Linked DNA regions of Coturnix japonica. The protein of the gene in region 1 interacts with the protein of each later gene in a pairwise test. Links are inferred from orthologs where the notes say so. Each region holds a gene or a part of one and is shown in the gene's direction. Other genes may lie near its edges.

Evidence for each region. The genes of interacting proteins can lie anywhere in the genome.
Region 2: the proteins of AP1M1 (region 1) and AP1B1 interact in a two-hybrid assay, tested with the Homo sapiens proteins (2 studies listed by BioGRID, with this or other methods). The link is inferred for Coturnix japonica from reciprocal best matches to the Homo sapiens genes AP1M1 and AP1B1.

Annotation. Positions count from the first base shown.
Region 1 is NC_029543.1:3,465,600-3,468,728, reverse strand, and holds part of AP1M1 (AP-1 complex subunit mu-1), read left to right. Parts: intron 1-133; coding exon 134-276; intron 277-1,019; coding exon 1,020-1,091; intron 1,092-1,364; coding exon 1,365-1,523; intron 1,524-1,954; coding exon 1,955-2,080; intron 2,081-2,732; coding exon 2,733-2,808; intron 2,809-3,129. UniProt on the Homo sapiens protein: Subunit of clathrin-associated adaptor protein complex 1 that plays a role in protein sorting in the trans-Golgi network (TGN) and endosomes.
Region 2 is NC_029530.1:9,936,996-9,941,237, forward strand, and holds the start of AP1B1 (AP-1 complex subunit beta-1), read left to right. Parts: upstream 1-1,333; 5' UTR 1,334-1,452; intron 1,453-1,557; 5' UTR 1,558-1,573; coding exon 1,574-1,610; intron 1,611-1,835; coding exon 1,836-1,941; intron 1,942-2,484; coding exon 2,485-2,620; intron 2,621-3,247; coding exon 3,248-3,493; intron 3,494-4,135; coding exon 4,136-4,242. Other genes in the region: NEFH (neurofilament heavy polypeptide), read right to left, coding at 1-95. UniProt on the Homo sapiens protein: Subunit of clathrin-associated adaptor protein complex 1 that plays a role in protein sorting in the late-Golgi/trans-Golgi network (TGN) and/or endosomes.

The DNA of each region.
Region 1 (3,129 bases):
AGAAAAAATACTGGGCTAAACCCAGGTGTGAAGGATATCAGCAGGCATCTGCTTTGCTATATAATGCTCTGATGTGACTTCAGATGCAATGGGAGCAGTGATTTGAAATCTTGGCATGTGTGTTTTCTGATAGGTGGCAAAAGTAAATCAGTAGAACTGGAAGACGTGAAGTTCCATCAGTGTGTTCGTCTCTCTCGCTTTGAAAATGACAGGACGATTTCTTTCATCCCACCTGATGGAGAGTTTGAACTCATGTCCTATCGCCTCAATACCCACGTAAGTCTGGATGTTTGGGTCTGAACCATAGCAGTTTTTTATGAGAATAATCTAGCCTGTAGGTAGAATTGCTGATGACTTTCCCGTGATGTGTTTTGTTTTTTCTTTAAGTATGGGCAGCATAGTAGTTGTGAAGTCAACCATTAGTAGTAACGCTTTGTGCTTGCTGTTTTTGGAGGAAGTAAGAATGAGGTTAGGAATAACTTGGCAGTAAGTCTCTTATCTTTTCAACTTCTATTGAAACTATTTTCAAAGCATGAATTAGTTCATTTTTAAGCTAACAATGCTATAAAATTATTGTGGCAATTTATTGTGCTTGACAGTGTTAATTTGTTAGCTGAATATTTCTTGGAGTATGTTAACATACCATATTCCTGGCTCCTCAAGGTAGCAGCTGCTGTATAAGTTAACATTCTTTTTGAAAAGAAAATATTTAGCAAAGAGGAAATATTTAATTGTCAGCTGTGACAGGAGACCAGCAAAACAGTTACAGAAAACAAAACAAAAAGACCTGCACATACGTGGAGATGTGTTTGACAACTGAAGATGTTAGGAACTAATCTGAGAAATACTTCTTTCTTTTTTTTCCCCCCCTCGATGCCTGCCATTTTTTAGCCACATTTTGCTTGTATGTCAGTGCTTACTTACAGAATTAATGTATTCAGTGTAGATTTGTGAGGAAATTACAATTTTGTGCACATGCCAAAGTAAAATCTACAGTTGTAAAATATCTTTCCCATCAGGTAAAGCCACTGATCTGGATTGAGTCTGTGATTGAAAAACATTCCCACAGCCGCATCGAGTACATGATCAAGGTCAGAAGTACTAAAATTATTATGGCTGGTTTGTCTTTTGTTTGTTCTCAGTGCTTGACCAGCAGAGTGCATTCCTGCTTACACAAACACCTACTATTTCCCTGGGATTTGTGTCTTTTTAGTGAAGTTCATTTGTGTTAATGTTCTGTATTGTGCTGTTTCTCAGTAGATTGTGGTAGAGGGAAATTATCTCACAGCTCTCTGAATTTACATGTGTAGTGTATGTGCTTAGAGATGTGATTTTTTTAATTTTTTTTTCTCACTTTTCTTTAGGCAAAAAGTCAGTTTAAACGTAGATCGACTGCCAACAATGTGGAGATTCACATTCCAGTTCCAAATGATGCGGATTCGCCAAAGTTTAAAACCACTGTTGGAAGTGTCAAATGGGTTCCAGAGAACAGTGAAATTGTCTGGTCCATCAAGTCTTTTCCAGTAAGTGCTATTTTTAGTCTTCTCACCCAATAGTACAATAATTACTTAAAGTTAATGGTTTATGACTCAGCCTAAGGCAAATTCTAAAAGCATCAAATGCTCCATAGTGATAGTACAGCTACCGTGCTATGTGATGAAAATGGTCAGAAAGAAAGCCAAACTTCTAATGTTCTCGTTGAGGATAAGACCAGAGGAAGATGAATTATGCCTCAAACTGGTCTTAAGTTGATCTATATTTAAAAGCAACAAAACAAACAAAAACCAAACACCACTATTTTTAAATAAAAACAAGTACTTCCTTCTTAGCCCTAGAAAAGAATCTGAAGTAATAAATGCAGTTCATCAATTTGATATTCTGCATAGAAAATCACTTGTATTGTTGGAAGCTTTTCTTGTTTCAAGAAAAAAAAAAATTGTTCTTTTTTTGTAAGGGTGGAAAAGAATATCTGATGAGGGCTCACTTTGGACTTCCAAGTGTTGAAGCTGAAGACAAGGAAGGGAAACCTCCCATTAGTGTCAAATTTGAGATTCCATATTTCACCACTTCAGGAATCCAGGTTGGTAGTTGAAAACAGAAATACAGAAGGAGGCTGTGTGCTAGGCTCCTGACACACAAGCTGATGCAGCCCAGCTTTGTAGCTTTGTCTGCCTTGTTCCTTGGTTTGGTGTAATTTTTGCTGTGTAATTGTTCCATGGTTTGGTGTCATTTTGCTGTTGTTTTTGTCCTGCTTTTCCTGGCTGTCACTGTCTCATTCACAAACATCTTCCTGCCCTTCACTTTGAAGTACCAAAAGTGTTTCTTTATTACTGAGGCAAGTCTGATTTTTTTGTTTGTTTGTTTGTTTTATTTTATTTTTTATTTTTCCCGGCTTTAAGGGAATCTTGTAAAGAGAATGATAGGACTGGCTGCATTATTTCATATGGAAAGCACACTGTTAATGCAAGTGACGACAGTTTATGTTTACATCTAAAGTTTTGCACATCTGGATAATTTCTGTTATTATTATCCATAGAATATACCATATATATCCATATATCTATCTATATCTATCTATCAATACCATATATATCCATATATCTATCATCAGCGATGATCTATATCCATAGATCATCGCTGCCCACCCAATCATCCCTGATTTCATTTTATTTTTTGCTAAACAATGCTTGGCTGACACGGGAGATTCATATTTAACTTTTCTTTCTTCCCAGGTTCGATACTTAAAGATAATTGAGAAGAGTGGCTATCAGGCTCTCCCATGGGTTCGTTACATTACCCAGAATGGAGGTAAATTGAAAGCAATGAACTATAAACATAATCTCTGTCTTAATGTATTTTAATTCTCCAGCATACACCAACAAATTGAAGATATGAGCAAACTGTTCTTGTGTTTCAGTATTAAACACTGCAGTATATGTACATGACATTAATGCTTGCTGATTTTTCTAGTCTTTTTTTTTCTTACTCAACTATCTTATTGAAATGCTCATTTAGACAGCACTGTTGTTCACTGAATGTGACTTTCATTATGAAATACTTAAATCTGGGGAGAAATATGAATTAAAAGAGAACTGATTCGTACATATCATTTTGCTGGCTTTGGGCTGG
Region 2 (4,242 bases), on another chromosome or scaffold:
TCTTGCTTGAGCAACTGGCACATGGGGCATCCAGTGCTGGAGTCCATGGAGCACCTGGTGTGGGCATCCATTGAGCAGCCAGTGCTGACATCCATGGAGCACAGTGCCAACGCCCAACGACAGCACTCAGTGTTGGCATCCACATGTACAATGTCAGCACCCAATGTCAGCACCCATGGAGCACCCAGTGTTGGTATCCACACGTACCTAATGCCAGCACCCAGTATCTGAACTCGTGGAGCACCCAGTATTGGTACCCAAAGAGCACCCACTCCACCAGCACCCGGGGACCACTCGATCTGGTGCCTTGCCGTCTCCTCAGCCAGTCAGCACTCTCTGACCACCCCATCTATGCGGTCTCATGTCTCATCCCAGCCACTCAACACCCTGCCGGGGGACCCTGGAGGTGGGCTGGTGGTGGGGCCGCAGCTGCTGCACGTTGGGCTGCGGGGTCCCCGTGTGCTGACCTTGACAGCCCGCTGTCCTGCGCATCGCATCCTCCCTACTCATCACTTTCTTTTTTCCCTCCCCCCGCCCACACTGCGCGGTGCTGAGGGTTGGAGCGTTGGCGCACGGAGCTGCTGCAGTGCCGGGCAGCGCTGGGATGCAGCTCTGCAGAGCAGCCAAACCCGCGGGGCCGCTCTGGAGTGGCCATACGGCTGTCAGTGCGCGGAGGGGCTGCGAGGTGGCCCCAGTGCTGCTGTGGTTCCAGGAGGATGACACAGCGTGTGCTTCTGCCCTCCAGCATCGTGTCCCTCTGTCCCACGTTCTCCATCCCCGTGCCACGTCCCCCTGCCCTCTGCCTTTTCCCATCCGCTGCCCCCAAGCTCTGTCCGCACCCCATCTCCCCCATATAGCACTCCCATCCCCTGTTGCCGCTCCCCGCCCCATCCCTTGTCCCATCCCTGCCGCTTTTCCGTCCCATCCCGTGTCCCTGCGCTTTGTCCACATCCCCATCCCTTCCCTTGTCCCGGTGCCTCCCCTACCCCTGTCCCCTGTCCCCACCCTCTCCTCGCCCATCCCACCCCATCCTCTGCCCACACCCCATGTCCCCACTCCTGTCCCCATGTGCTATCCCGTCCCTCACCCCCCGTCTCCCCCTTCCCAATCCCATGCCCCTACATGTGACCCAGCCCCCTCTATCCCGTTCCCATTCCTCGTCCCCCCATTCCCACCCGCTGTCCCATCCCCATCCCTTCCCTTATCCCACCCCACCCCCTTTCCTCCGCCCACTTCCCACCTCCCATCCCTTCTCCCACACTACACCCCTGTTCCACGTCCCCATCCCACATCCCCCCCCATATCCACCCCATTATCCCCGTGTCCCCACGCGCTGTCCCCGCTCCATCCCACCCCCATCCCGTAGCTCCGCCCCCTCCCCCGTATCCCCTCCCCGGAAGCTCTCTCTCCTCACTTCCTCTGGGCCGGGGGCAGCGCTCGGTGCGGTGGCAGGTTCGGGCCGGGGGCGGCGGAACCGGGGGGGGGGGGGGGGAACCGAGAGGTTTAGGGGGTTAAAATGAACGTGGTCTGTTAATGGTTACGTGCATCTCCCGGCAGGGAACGCGGCGGCACCATGACGGACTCCAAGTACTTCACCACCACCAAGAAGGGTGAGGGGGCTGCGGGGAGGCCTGGGGGGGGCACGGGGCTGTGAGGGGGCGGCCCTTACCATAGGGAGAGATGGGACAGTGTTTGTATACACACACAGGGGGAGGTTGGGCCGCGCTGTGCTGGGCCGGGCCGGGCTCTGTGATCCCATTGGGGCCCATAAGTGGGGGTCTGACACCCACAGACCCCCTTAGAACCTCCCTGCTGACCCCCTGCCTCCCCTATAGGGGAGATCTTCGAGCTGAAGGCAGAGCTGAACAGCGACAAGAAGGAGAAGAAGAAGGAGGCGGTGAAGAAGGTGATCGCATCCATGACTGTCGGCAAGGACGTCAGGTGTGTCCGGCCTCCTGTCCCACGGGCTGCAGGGCAGGGGGGGAATAGTCACCAAAGCTGGTTTTGCCCCGGGGTTTGTGCTTCAGACCCAGCACAATGGGCTGCTTAGGCCTGGTTGTGAGCTTGTGAGCACAGGCTGGTTGTAGGGTTGTATTGTGGGGTTGTGGAGTCATCTGGGATGGAGGATACCTTCTAGGTTGCCAGCTCGGTCTAGGGAAGAGGAGGGGTCCCCTTGCAGCCTTTCAGTATTTAAAGGGAGCTTATAAAAGAGGGAGAGGGTGACTTTGTACAGCGATAGGGCAAGTGGGAATGACTTTAAACAAAGAGAAGGGGAAGCTTAGGTGAGGCGTTAGGTGGAAATTCTGTACTTAGAAGGTGGTGAGACCCTGGCACTGGGTGCCCCATTCCAGGAGGTGCTCAAGGCCGGGTTAAATGGGGTTTGGTGGCTCTCCCAGGATAAAAGGGGCACACACCAGCAGGGCATCATGTCTGTGTTAACACCCCAGTCACTTGCCCTGAGATCTGCGGTGCTTCACATTTCAGCGCTCTCTTCCCGGACGTGGTGAACTGCATGCAGACAGACAACCTGGAGCTGAAGAAGCTGGTCTACCTCTACCTGATGAACTACGCCAAGAGCCAGCCTGACATGGCCATCATGGCTGTCAACACCTTTGTGAAGGTGAGGGGAAGGGACTGTGGGGCGGCACTTTGGCCTCCTGCCACCGAAGGGAGGGCAAGCAGCTGCCCAAGGCTTTCCCTCAGCAAATCAGGGCTCCCCTTGCATGGGATAAGAGCAAATTTGCCCCATGGTGCAAGAGTAAAATGTTTGTGGTGTTGGAGATGCCCCCTGTTGAGCTTGCTGCAGAGAACGTGGTCTTTCTTTTGTGGGCAGGAGCTGGGGAGTGTGTCTGTTGGAAGCCCCTGGGCCACCAGATCCTTTTGTGGGGAGGCTTTCCAGGAAGTTTTGGTGTTTTTAAAAGGAAAAAACAACAACAGTGATTGTGCTGGTTGTGTTCCCCAGGCCGGGTGGCTGTTCTGGGGGGTGCTGGGTGGGTTGTGTCCCTGGTGTAAGCCGGGCACACGCCTGGTTCTGTGGTGTGTTTGGAACAGGAGCTGCTCTAACAGTGTTAGAATTCAGTGGAATGAGACTGAACTCCTTCTGTGGGATGCACTCACTCCACTCAGGAGCTGAATGCAAATAACCTCAGGACTTCAGGAACCCGAATTAAAGTCAAGGTCCTGAAGCTGCTGCTGATGGCTGTGGTTGGAGGGGCTGGAGCTCTCACTGTCCCCTCTGGCCCTGCAGGACTGTGAGGACCCAAACCCTCTGATCCGTGCCCTGGCCGTGCGGACCATGGGCTGCATCCGTGTGGACAAGATAACAGAGTACCTGTGTGAGCCCCTGCGCAAGTGCCTGAAGGATGAGGACCCGTATGTGCGCAAGACAGCGGCCGTCTGCGTGGCCAAGCTCCATGACATCAATGCCCAGCTGGTGGAGGACCAGGGCTTCCTGGACACCCTCAAGGATCTCATCTCGGACTCCAACCCCATGGTGATCAGACCTTGCTTTCCCTGTCTGGTGCAGCAGATGCCCTCCTTTGTTTTTGCAGCCCTGTATCCTTGCTCCCACGTTCCTCTTCATTTCTTGATGCTTTTTGCTGCTTGTCAGATTGCTTTTGGGGGTGGCTGTCCCTGGGGTTGCTTTTCTTGTCCAATAACCGTCTCCTGGCTGCTTTTAGATGTGAGATCTCATTATTTCCCCTTTGTTATTAGCTTCTGCACCCTATGGGGAGCAGGAAAGGCATCAAACAGGATTTGCTGGCTGGGAATGCTGTGATGCTGCATGTTTGGCTTCTCACACCAGCTTGCACTGATGTGGTGGTGGCTCTCTGCTGTTTCCCTGCTGAGGGTGACTGCCGGGAGGGGACAGGAGGAGCACAGGGCTGTAGGATTTGCCCACCCAAACTGCCAAGTAGTGATGGGGGAAGAGTCACAGTGTGGGTGGTGGTGATGTGTGCTGATAGCTCATCTGCACATCAGCTTGTGTGGAGGAGAAGCTGGTGCCCAGATGTCAGAGCAAGGGCCCCACACTGAGGACGCATCTCATCTGCTTGCAGCAGCTTTTCTCCAGAACCACAACTGCCATCCCATTGTGCTCGCTGTCCCTTCACACGTGTCCCATCTCCTCTGGCAGGTAGTGGCTAATGCAGTAGCAGCGCTGTCGGAGATTGCAGAGTCGCACCCGAGCAGTAACCTGCTGGACCTCAACCCCCAGTCCATCAACAAGCTGCTCACAGCCCT